Linked DNA regions of Danio rerio. Each later gene encodes a partner of the first gene's protein in a complex. Links are inferred from orthologs where the notes say so. Each region holds a gene or a part of one and is shown on either strand. Other genes may lie near its edges.

Region 1 (3,658 bases):
ATTTTGGTAAAAAATCTGCGGATTTCTGCGGAATTATTTTGGGAGTATCCAGCGGAGTATCATAACTAAAACCATAATATATTAAATAAAAAGTAATAAATTACTGAATAAAAACTGAATAAATTCTGATTTACACATTTACTCAAGTAAATAAACAGAATTAATAATGGGCTAAAAATCAGCAGAAATCTGCGGAATTCTGCTGAAAATCTGCGAAACATCTGCGGAATTCTGCGCGCGCAGATTCCGTGTGGGCCTAGTGATCGCTCAGTCAAGTCACATAACATGACGTACTTGGAAAATACTAACTTTAGAATATAATATTTAGAACAAAAGCTCATCATTACTAATACAATTTAATCAAATATAAAGACGTGATATAAATAAAGACGTGTTTAAATTGGTTCAATTAGTTAGAGACAAGTTACGTCAACCTCAACAATGGGAAGCAGGAGCATGACAGTACCGCGGTACTCTGTATCGTGGTTGCTGTATCGCAATATTTTGGTTCGGTTTGTAATATCGTTACACCCTTAATATTTACACTATGTTAATTGATAAATGCTGTAAAAGTTAGACAGATCATTCGTTCAAGTTTTGAAATAAATCATAACATTTAACTGATGGAAACCTGTTGCATAGTCTGATCCTTTTTTATTTGTCTTCACGCTAAACTTGGACTATTCTGAAGAATCTTAGGATTCTTCAACTTTTTTTTTGATATTTATAAAAGCCACACAAACCTTCAGGTCTGAGAACTGTTGCTGAATTTTAGGCCGCTCCATACGATACTTCTCAATCTCCTCTTTCTCTCGCAGCTCCCTGCAGACACATTAGTCAAATCAACCCAAACGCTCTACATAAACAGCAAGTGTAGACGACAGAAGAAAGGTCAAGCTCACCTTCTTTCTTTCCGTCTCTCATCCATTCTTTTATCCAGTGCAGCATAAATAGCGTCGGCCTCCTCGTCATCTTTCTCATACGGCCCGCTGGAGAACAGACTGCCCGCATAGCCGTTAAACTAGAGGATACAGGATATAGAGGCATAGATTAATAATATTCTGCTGCATTTTGGCACATCAACTCAATATGACGCCTGCGAAATGTACCTCATCATAATTGGTGTCGTTGAGATCCTCGTCATCATCATCCTGGCTTTTCTTCATTTGATCACCCACCGTCCTCTTCCCCGGAGGTGCGTGGCGATCATCAACTGGGTCATTGGCATCACGAGCAGGACCGATATCAGATCGTGTGGTGAAACCCGTGGCACTGCAGAGCACATTGAATTACAACTCAACAAAGAAATTCAGCATATGGTTTCCAATAGATTTTATTACATCGAAGACTGGAGCAAACTTCTTGCATTGCCATCTTGGTACAGGGTAGCGCTCCTTTGAAATGAATGCGGGACCAAGGTACAGTGGAGGTTCTGTGGCCATCCAAAGCCAGAGATATACACATATACACATATATCTATGATCGGGAGTTTTCCTGGATGTGAATATGTAATTTTTTTTTTTTCTAATTGCGAAAATTATAATTTTACATTATTTTTCTACATTGATGGATCAGTGACTGCATGGGCATTCCTGACAAAAAGCTTGTGTTTGTGTGTACAGAAATGTACTATTCACCCTCCCTGTTAAATTTAATCAAATCATGTCCTGAAACACACCTCCTCTCCTGCTTTCACTCCTCATACTGACGGAGGGAGCGATTCGTTTGTGAATGAATCCACCGAACGACTCTTTCACTAGCCGACATCAATACCAGTTTCTGGCAGCGCAGCATCTCGTTGTCATATTTCTTTTGCATTGTTTGTTATTCAACAAAAATAGCATAAGCCGAGTGTTTAGTGCGAGTTGGAGCTGCTTTGCCTTATGGTGAATGCAGTAAGTGACTATCATCCATAATGTTACCTGATTAGCACAAAAGTTCAGAACATACAAAAACAGAAAAAAAACTCAATATTACCTATGAAATGTTCTGCCTTTGTGCTTTGTTTTCTTTGTTTGGTCGTTACTACACCCATAGACAGCGCTAAAGTCCAGCATCTTCACATAATAACACTGTCTTGACTAGTGCGGTTGAATGACATTTGTTCTGGGAGCACTGTACCAATGTAGAGGCTCTATTGACGCATGCTCAGGGTCCCTATGCGATATCTAGTGTATACATCTATGACTGACAGCAAACTAACGGTTAGAGGGGCGTGACTAAACATTTCACACAAGCTGTCAAACTGACATCAGTGATAGATAGCCACTTGTAACATTCGCTTGCAGAACGTAATTTGGATAAGTGTGTGCGTTTGTTTGTATGTGGGTTTGTCGTTTCATGCATGTGTCGCAGGTACGAATGGCATTGGAGGATCCGCATTTCGTGCTGATGATGTTGCCTGCTGACGCTGGGTTTGCGCCACCAATCACTGGTTGGCGTAGCGTTTAAAAGCCGAGCCCAAACTGCAATGGCGATCTCTCTGTCTCTTTCCTTCTCGCCACTTCTCGCTCTTATTCTTTCTGTGGGTCTCTCTGAGGACAGTCTCTCTTGCGAGGGCTAGTCTGAGAGAATGTGTTTTGATTGTGTTTAATGCTCTTGTCTAAAGTTTGAGATTAATTTAATGTGTTTGCTTGTGAACTTGTCCTGTTAACTGACATGTTTGAGTGATACCTCGGAGAGGTGTAGGTGTGAGTAAGTCGTGCGATATACAAATACAACATTCAGATGCATATTTTGTATTAGTTCATTAGGTTCAGGAGAATGTGCTGTTTTCTGCATGTTTTGTTCTTAGTTAGAGCAGTTTAGTTAAGACGTTTGGTATGTTGAAGATGTTTTTTTTTTCATGCTTTTCTTTTTATATTTAGTTTAGTTTGGTGAAAACAGTTACTGAGTTTTGTTATATTTATTTCTTTGATTTAAGCGCATTCAAGTACTTCCTCTCCCCCCAGGTAATTCATCATTTAATCATTGTAAATATTTTTCTTTCATTGTATTATATATTTTCACTGGTTTCATTGGATGTATGGGCAATAAATAATTGCAGTGAGATTTGGTTTTCAGTTTATTTTTTTCTCCATCCGCTTGTCACACACATTAAACTATTGTATGTTATGTCATCTACTCCTAGTTTAATATAACATCTAAAAGAACGTAACACCCCTCCAGAGTGGAAAAAAGGTCAGATTTTTAAAAGAAGATGACCAAAACAAACACACTGATTTTTCCCCCCAAGTCTAACAATTTACAGCAGCAAAAAAAAAAAAGATTTTAAATTTTGATTTCACCTGGACTTTCAACGATATTCAATATATCAATAAGGGCTGAATGATATTGGAAAAATCTGTTGATAATATTCTATATATTTGAGAAATATCTTGTATTTCTGCAATATATTGTAATTTCTATATCTAATTTCACCAGATGATTTGAATAGCTCTATTTGGAAATACTTTATTAAAAAAAAAACGTGCAAATGATAAAACTTTTACTCCATTAAGGTTAAAGTACATAAACTCAACAAATCTCATGTATTTTATATAATCCTAAATCTTAATATTTATAATCCTAAACTATATAATCCCAAATCAACATTGCAGATTCTGCGATATGACTATTGCTGATGAGTCGATGCCAATGCTGAAACCACATATTGACA
Region 2 (3,758 bases), about 30 Mb from region 1:
TACAAAAATACATTTCTTCTGATGCCATCTATCTAAAATGAACATTTACAAGCACAAAGACGTGGAATCGATCTATTGTAAAAGGTACTTTGTAAATAAGCATTTGCTATCAGTTCAGAGTCCCTTCTTCCGCTACGATCAGTGGTGAATTAGTCTTGTCTGGTTCTGTTCATTGTTGATTGGGTGAGAGCAGCTCAAGCTTACTGGCTGTGGAAATCAGCGGGCGTGGCTCATTATACTTCAGGAAAGCGCCGTTTATAACGCGCGTTTCAGTGGGGTTAAAACGGCGTTTTAAACGGCGTTTTGTGGCAAGCGGATCGCGTCATAAACCGCGCTTTTCACTAACACTAAAACGGCGTTAAAAACGGCGTTTTTTACAGGTTTACGCGCGTTATTTGCGGCGTTTGCAATCAGAACGGCGTTTTTAGCGGCGTTTGAAATGGTATTAGCGCCGTTTAATGCGGCGTTTTAATTGTAAACGCGATTGATTAATAGTGTTTTTATGAGCTCTTGGGCTTGCCATAAGATGATGATGTGCGCGCGCGGGACTTGTTTTCTCGCGCTGGATCAGTTGAGCGCGCGCGTGAAGATCCCCTGTGCGCTTGCAGCTGTAGTTTTCTCGCGTGTCTGTAATCTGCTCACGGTTCACTTCTCCTCGCGCGCAAACATCACCGCTGCGCTCGATTTATATTGGCATTGATTTGCCGACATAAGACGAGTCGGACATGATATTTAAGATCCCACATGAAATTTAAGACCTCCTTATGGAAAATTACAGAATTCAAGACATTTTCAGACCTTAAAAATCGAAAATTTTATTTAAGACATTTTAAGACTTTTTAAGGACCCGCGGGGACCCTGTAAAATACATCATTGAACGTTTTTATTGAAATAATATTAATATATATTAGAGCTGCACAATATATCACTTCTTGAGCAATGATATTGAAATGTGTGCATCTGCATTAGTTACATCGCAAGATAGGCGATAGTTAGGATTATAGATGACCACCAGAAACCACTAGTCAAAACACACAAGATTTGTGGAGACACTGCAGAATTTAAGCACAATAGAGTGAAAGTTTATCATCACTTTAAGGCATGTGGCTGAGCATTTGAAGAGAGTTTAAAACATTAGTAGTGCATGAAAATGTTTAATAAAGATTAATTTTATTAAAATTTGTGTATGGTGAAGACTACACAGTGCTATTTTACATTTGATTATTCGATTTCAGTACCTGAATCAGGGTTTCTGCAGGTTATACAGTTAAATTTAATTGTTTATAAAACCTTTATTAATTACATTTTAGACCCATAAAGTGCTAAAAGCTAAGGAATTTTTCAAATAGCCCTGATGGAAAAGATTTTTATTTGCCCTATCAAAAACATTATTATATTTTAATACATTTAATAATACAATAATAATAAAAAAATATATATATTTCCGATTTTATTTCTTAGCAAAATATTGTGTAAAAACAAGCAAGCTCTAATTGTATCTATACACTTTTTTCCTCAACATAAACTTTCTTTAAAATAAAAAAAAGAACAAATATTTTAAAACTTTTAAAAACTACAATAAACTAAATCTATGCACAACAATCTCTCCTGTTCAGTGTCCTCAGTAGTAAATACATGGAGAACTTTTAAACACATGTTATTGTATGGAAAATAATTAAACCATTATGGTAAATAGATTAAAAATTACCTTTTTAAATAAAAAGTTTAAGGTTTTGTTGAGAGGATTGTTGGTGATTGTATGGGTGTTAATGGCCAGACTGGGTAGCAACACATGACTTTAAAAAAAAAAAAAAAGAATCAAGACCTACACAATACAATATTTCAGTCAAATTAATACTTTTTAATGGCCAAATTTTGGATTTTGACATTTAAGACACTGTGGAAACCCAACTGAGTACTGTTAGACTCTCAAGAAACCCATTAAGGACGGTTTATTTCACTTTAATAATTACGTTACCCAATTGTGTGTGTGACTAGTTTGTATAAGAAACTACATTAAAATGTATATTTAAATTTCACTCCCCTACAAAACCACTTTTCAAATATTTAATTACTTAATTACAAAAAAGAAAATATCGCAATGTATAGTTTTTTCAATATCGTGCAGCCCTAATATTGAGCTATAATTCATATTTTAACTGGAAAGAGAAACATCTAACGTTATTAAAAGATTACTCACGTGAAAGCTTCTTGTCCATAAACCTAAGAGGGGAAAAGGCACTTTCTTAATTCACAATAGATACACCACCAAACTGAAAGCTAACTCATATAAAATATATCAAAATGGATTAGCAATATAAGTTATGCTTGATGTGAAAATAAAGTAATTTAGCCGTTAAACTGAACACACACCGGCTAACGTTAATAAGTTGCCCATGTTAAATACTTCTTAATATCAAATTTCTAAAAAACTCAAGAAAATACTTGAAATACTTACTTTTTCAGCTCGGGTGGATGTGCTTTGCTCATGTTTATTTAGTGAGATATGCTAGTTTTGTCAAACAAATACGTTTGAATCACGTTTCAAGCGTTGTTCGGAGAATGAGTGAAATGCAGGAAGTGACGTTTTGGGTCGCGGGATTTTTCCCTTGTACTAGCACCATTGAGTAATATTGCCCTCTACTCCGGCGGATGATGAACTACAACAACAACAACATATCGACAAGGTCGCTGGTTCGAGTCTCGGACTCTCGGCTGGGTCAGTTGACATTTCTCTGAGGAATTTGCAAGTTCTCCCCGTGTTCGAGTGGGTGTCCTCCGGTTTCCCTCACAGTCCGAAGACATGTGCTATAGGTGAACTGAATAAACTAAATTGTCTATAGTGTATGAGTGTTTCCCAGTACTGGGTTGCAGCTGGAAGGGCATCTGCTGTGTAAAGCATATGTTGTATAAGTTGGTGGTTCATTCTGCTGTGGCGACCCCTGATGAATAAAGGGACTAAGCCAAAAAGAAAATGAATGAATATTATACAGGCCCATAGCCAGCCTGGTAAAAGGGGTGGTTCTTTTTTCTAAGTAAGTTTACCTTTTTGCAGGTATTTGCCTCATTTTCTATTTAATTATTAGATATACTGCATTTTAGTGATATTTTAAGCACTATCTTTAGCTGAATTAACCTGTCGAATAGTCATCATAACCACAATTTTGATGAATCAAAATATTTCCTAAAATTTTGGAATAAAGAAAAATAAATAAATACATATTTTTAAAAAACAAATGTTACAGCCAATATTAATTAAAAAAAAGGAATCTATTAATGTTTAAATTAAAAACTGTAGCCTATTATAGCGACATTTATTGGGCAAACAACAACTTGGCCAGCTCATTCAACTGTCCTCAGTTAGAATTTGCCCATTTGAATACATATTATTATTAATAATCAAAGGTTCAAAACTGATAAGCTGAAGTCACACCGCAGCAACAGCCAACAGAGGATTACAATTGGTTTTAAGACCCTTTTTGCTTAGTTATTTTTACAATTTATGAAGCATAGCAATTATAATGAGACAAACAAGCTCATATATGGAACAAATGTTGGACCTTTGTTAGTGAGGGGTAGGTCTTTCGAACCCCTCAAAGCCTATTGAGGTAAAGTTAATTTTTATATTCGCACATTCACACTTTCTCCTTAATAATATAATTTCAGAGAAGTATTCACTGCAAATTCTAAATAGTGAAATCATATTAGCAGCCATCAACCATCAAAGTGCAACATTGTTGACAGTCAATTTAATATTG
Region 3 (3,758 bases), on another chromosome or scaffold:
TATACAAAATATCATTACAATATATGTAACAATAAAAAGACAAACAACATTAACAAATAAAATTAGATAAAAACTTAAAATAGTTTAATTCTACCATCTTCGAAAGATTCACTTTTTTTTTTTTTTTTTTTAAATAGTTGCTTTAAGGCACAGGTGTCAAACTCAATTCCTGGAGGACCAAAAGCTCTGGACAGTTTAATTCCAACCCTAATTAACCACACCTGATCAAACTAATTGAGTCCTACAGTCGTTTGAAACCTACAGGTAAAGCGGCAGGCACACTGCACCCCTATAGACTTCCATTTATTAGCAAGTAAATGCCTTAGACAGGAAACGCAAGCTCGTGCCACAAGTTTCGCAGTTCGATGTGTTGGAAACTTAAAGCTTGGTGAACTCTGACCAATAGAAGATCAAAACACGACCTCTCTGTACAGAAATTTTAAATATGGTCAAATCGTAATCAGCTTGTTTAATCCCGCCCCTTTTTGCAGCACCAAACGGCAGAATTTCACATGCTCAAACTGTAGTGTGGGGAAGCAGGGTTGCAACTAAACTATGCAAGACTGCGGCCCTCCAGGAACAAAGTTTGACATCCCTGCTTTAAGAACTCTCCAGATAAAAATGGTTATCTAAAACATTTTAAACAGGGCATTGCAAAAGTATCAACTCGAGTTGAGTTTTATTGTCATTCCGCTACATCTGTGGACACACAGTGAAATGTCTTGCAGGACCACAGTGCAACATAAATAAACTATCATAAATATAAACAACCCTTATAGACATAAGAGCGATTTTAAACCTATACATAACTACATAGCAGAGCAGTAATTAACTATACATGTACTAAAGACCTTTTTGAGGGATGTAAACAATAACAATGGTCCTACTGTATTTTCAGTAGCTTCTGAGAGTCCAAAAAGTCCCACATATTGATAGTTACAATAGCTGTTATAATAGCTGTTATATAAGTTATGAATGAATCGCCTCTTGTTACAGATATGAATTGACAACAAGCAGGAAATATTCATGGGCCAATGGCATCACCACATTGAAACGGTCTATAAATAGTAAAAAAAAAAAAAAACTTTACGCATAACCTTAGACAGACTATACAAGTACTTTTATATAAGACAGAACAATATTGTGCAAAAGAGATCATTTAAGGTTGAAGGAAATGACCAGTTAAACAATTTGTGGTACAGTCACAGGTAAACATTGTTTTTTTTTTTTTATTAAGTCCTTGTAAGAGATCTAGAAAAACTTGCATTTAGAGAGATTAGCATTTCTACAGGTGGTTTGTCAAGCCCACTCACCTGTGTGAACCAATCTCAGAAATGCACAATGTTTTATAGAGCTATGAAGTGGTTGAAAGAGAGGGTCTGGTACAAATAGACAAAACTAGTGCAAGTGTGTCAAGGAGTGTTTATAAAGCCCACTCACTTGTGTAAGGCACACTCAGAATTGCTAAATATTGAGGTTTTCATATGAAGTGTATATGCTTGACAGCTAGGTTGCCATTACAATATTTACATTTTTGGCCACCTTCTGCTTTAAGCAGATGTCTGTGTGTGTCTAGCATCTCCATAATGGCATATACAACGGTATGTCTCGAGTTAAAAAGAATAGTTTAAATTTTCTTCCTACTAAGGAGCTGGATTTTCATAGAATCGTTAACTCTTTTAAACATACCTGCATGTTCATGTACCCATCCACTGACACCAGGTAGCCCTTGTACTCCATGCCCCACTTCAGCTTCACCATCACAGGCTTTCCTGTCAGACCATTCAGAAAGGGCTTTGGGTTCAGCGGCAAACTCTGAGGGAAAAGATCAGTGTTACACAATTAACATCATTCGAAATCAATCCCTAAGTGTCATTTTCAAACAATTCCATGTCAACATAATATTGTTCCTGAAGAAGTAAAATACTACAAATGTTGATGATTTTATTCTCAAGTGAGTGAAAAGCTTAGAAGAAACTTTAGCATAGCCTCCGGTGATGCTCAGTCATATTTGACCAAATAGAAAAAAAAAAAGATTTACATTTTGGGTTTTAGTTTTTTTTCTTCATCAGCTTGTTATAACTTTTAGTAAAAAGTTTTGACACTAGCCGCATGAATTTACACAAGCAAAATAAACAAATAATAAAAACAAAACAAAAACAGATACAATTGATATGACTTCATTTTAAATTGTAATGACAAATTCTCATTACTGTAGTTTGTGGTATAAAAAATCAAAACACGCATGCATACACACAATATATATATATATATATATATATATATATATATATTGTATAACTTCAATAAAACAATATAATAATTTACAGCATTAATTGTTTTTGGTTTCCACCAGAATTAGCTGCAAATAAGCATCAGTAATAGCAGAAAAAACTCCTTTAACGTTAGTTTTTATCTTTAGTTTTCCCACACATATATCATTTAATCGCATTTTGGGAGTCACCGACTAGGTTGTAAGAGAACAAGGAGGAACATTTATCAGCAAAGCTCAACATTTCTAACACAACACTGAAAATGACTGAAAACAACGTCCAGTCTGCGTTCCTGATGCTAACACCTAGCCGCATTATCAGCGTATTTATGAATGAAAACGTCTACGCTCTTTCGCCAAACTGAAGGTTTGGATACAAATAAAAGAGATAACGATGAACTTACCATGACTGGATTACTTAAGTAGTATTTTCAGACACAAAAATTGTTTATTTGAATAGTATAAGCTAATGCAGCACACTCGCACGCCTTGCCGCCGAAAGAGGGAAGGACTACGAGCGCACTTTGACCGCACGGCAGGAGAGAAGAGCGGATCTGCCCGCTGCGCCACTCGCTGGACAGGCGGGGAATAGAGCCGTGAATCCTCAGTTGAGCTGGAGTGGAGGTCTGAAATTAAAGAAATAGTTTATCCAAAAATAAAAATGTACTTACTATAAACTATTTCCGTTTGATGATGTCGTTGGCCCATAAACATTTCCTGCTTGTTATAAAACTGTTTCACAGCTGTATCAAGAGGCAATTCAACCATAACTTAATGTTAAAACAGTTCTTATAACATTATTTATCAATATGTGGCTCTTTTTAGATTCTCGGAAGCTATAGAAATTTAAAATGTAAAACAGGAAATACGTAAGGACCATTGTCTTTTGTTTAGATTCCTCAAAATTGTCTATATAGTCACCCTTGAGGGGTTTCTAACCTTAATGAGATTCTTTTTTTTCATTTGAAAACAAAAATAAGATATTTGGAAGTATGTTAAAACTGGTATTGTTGTTTCGAAAATGTTGGACACCGGTAACTATTGGCTTCTATTGTATTTGTTTTTCATCATATTATAGAAATGGTTACCAGTTTCCAAACATCTTCTTTGGTGTTCAGCAGAAGAAATAAACAAGTGAAGGGTAAGTAAATGAGAACATAATTTCATTTCATCACTATCCCTTTAAAAAAATTAATATGTATAAATTATTTTATATATTTATTTTGTACCATTTTTAACAACTCCCAAAACAGCAGCAGTGGATCATTTTATCATTTCATTCAACGAGAACGGAAACTTGCAATCATTTACAGTCTTTTAGATTTGTATTTGAAAGCACAACACATCTAATTTCTCTTTGATTTGTACAGTAATTTAGCTTTGCAAAACTATTGACCCTCAATTATATAAATAAAAAAAAATGCAAATATCCCACATCAATCATTTAACCGAAGACTTGCCCAGTAGGTTTTTGCATTTCATTACC

The links.
Region 2: prpf6 (region 1) and snrpg share a complex: the UniProt entries of both Homo sapiens proteins name them as parts of the U4/U6-U5 tri-snRNP complex. The link is inferred for Danio rerio from reciprocal best matches to the Homo sapiens genes PRPF6 and SNRPG.
Region 3: prpf6 (region 1) and snrpf share a complex: the UniProt entries of both Homo sapiens proteins name them as parts of the U4/U6-U5 tri-snRNP complex. The link is inferred for Danio rerio from reciprocal best matches to the Homo sapiens genes PRPF6 and SNRPF.

The regions. Positions count from the first base shown.
Region 1 is NC_133198.1:7,083,159-7,086,816, forward strand, and holds part of prpf6 (pre-mRNA-processing factor 6), read right to left. Parts: intron 1,273-3,658; coding exon 1,110-1,272; intron 1,022-1,109; coding exon 903-1,021; intron 823-902; coding exon 744-822; intron 1-743. UniProt on the Homo sapiens protein: Involved in pre-mRNA splicing as component of the U4/U6-U5 tri-snRNP complex, one of the building blocks of the spliceosome.
Region 2 is NC_133198.1:36,915,116-36,918,873, reverse strand, and holds the start of snrpg (small nuclear ribonucleoprotein G), read right to left. Parts: upstream 2,608-3,758; 5' UTR 2,491-2,607; coding exon 2,459-2,490; intron 2,224-2,458; coding exon 2,201-2,223; intron 1-2,200. UniProt on the Homo sapiens protein: Plays a role in pre-mRNA splicing as a core component of the spliceosomal U1, U2, U4 and U5 small nuclear ribonucleoproteins (snRNPs), the building blocks of the spliceosome.
Region 3 is NC_133182.1:19,364,438-19,368,195, reverse strand, and holds the start of snrpf (small nuclear ribonucleoprotein F), read right to left. Parts: upstream 2,867-3,758; 5' UTR 2,680-2,866; coding exon 2,677-2,679; intron 1,816-2,676; coding exon 1,690-1,815; intron 1-1,689. UniProt on the Homo sapiens protein: Plays a role in pre-mRNA splicing as a core component of the spliceosomal U1, U2, U4 and U5 small nuclear ribonucleoproteins (snRNPs), the building blocks of the spliceosome.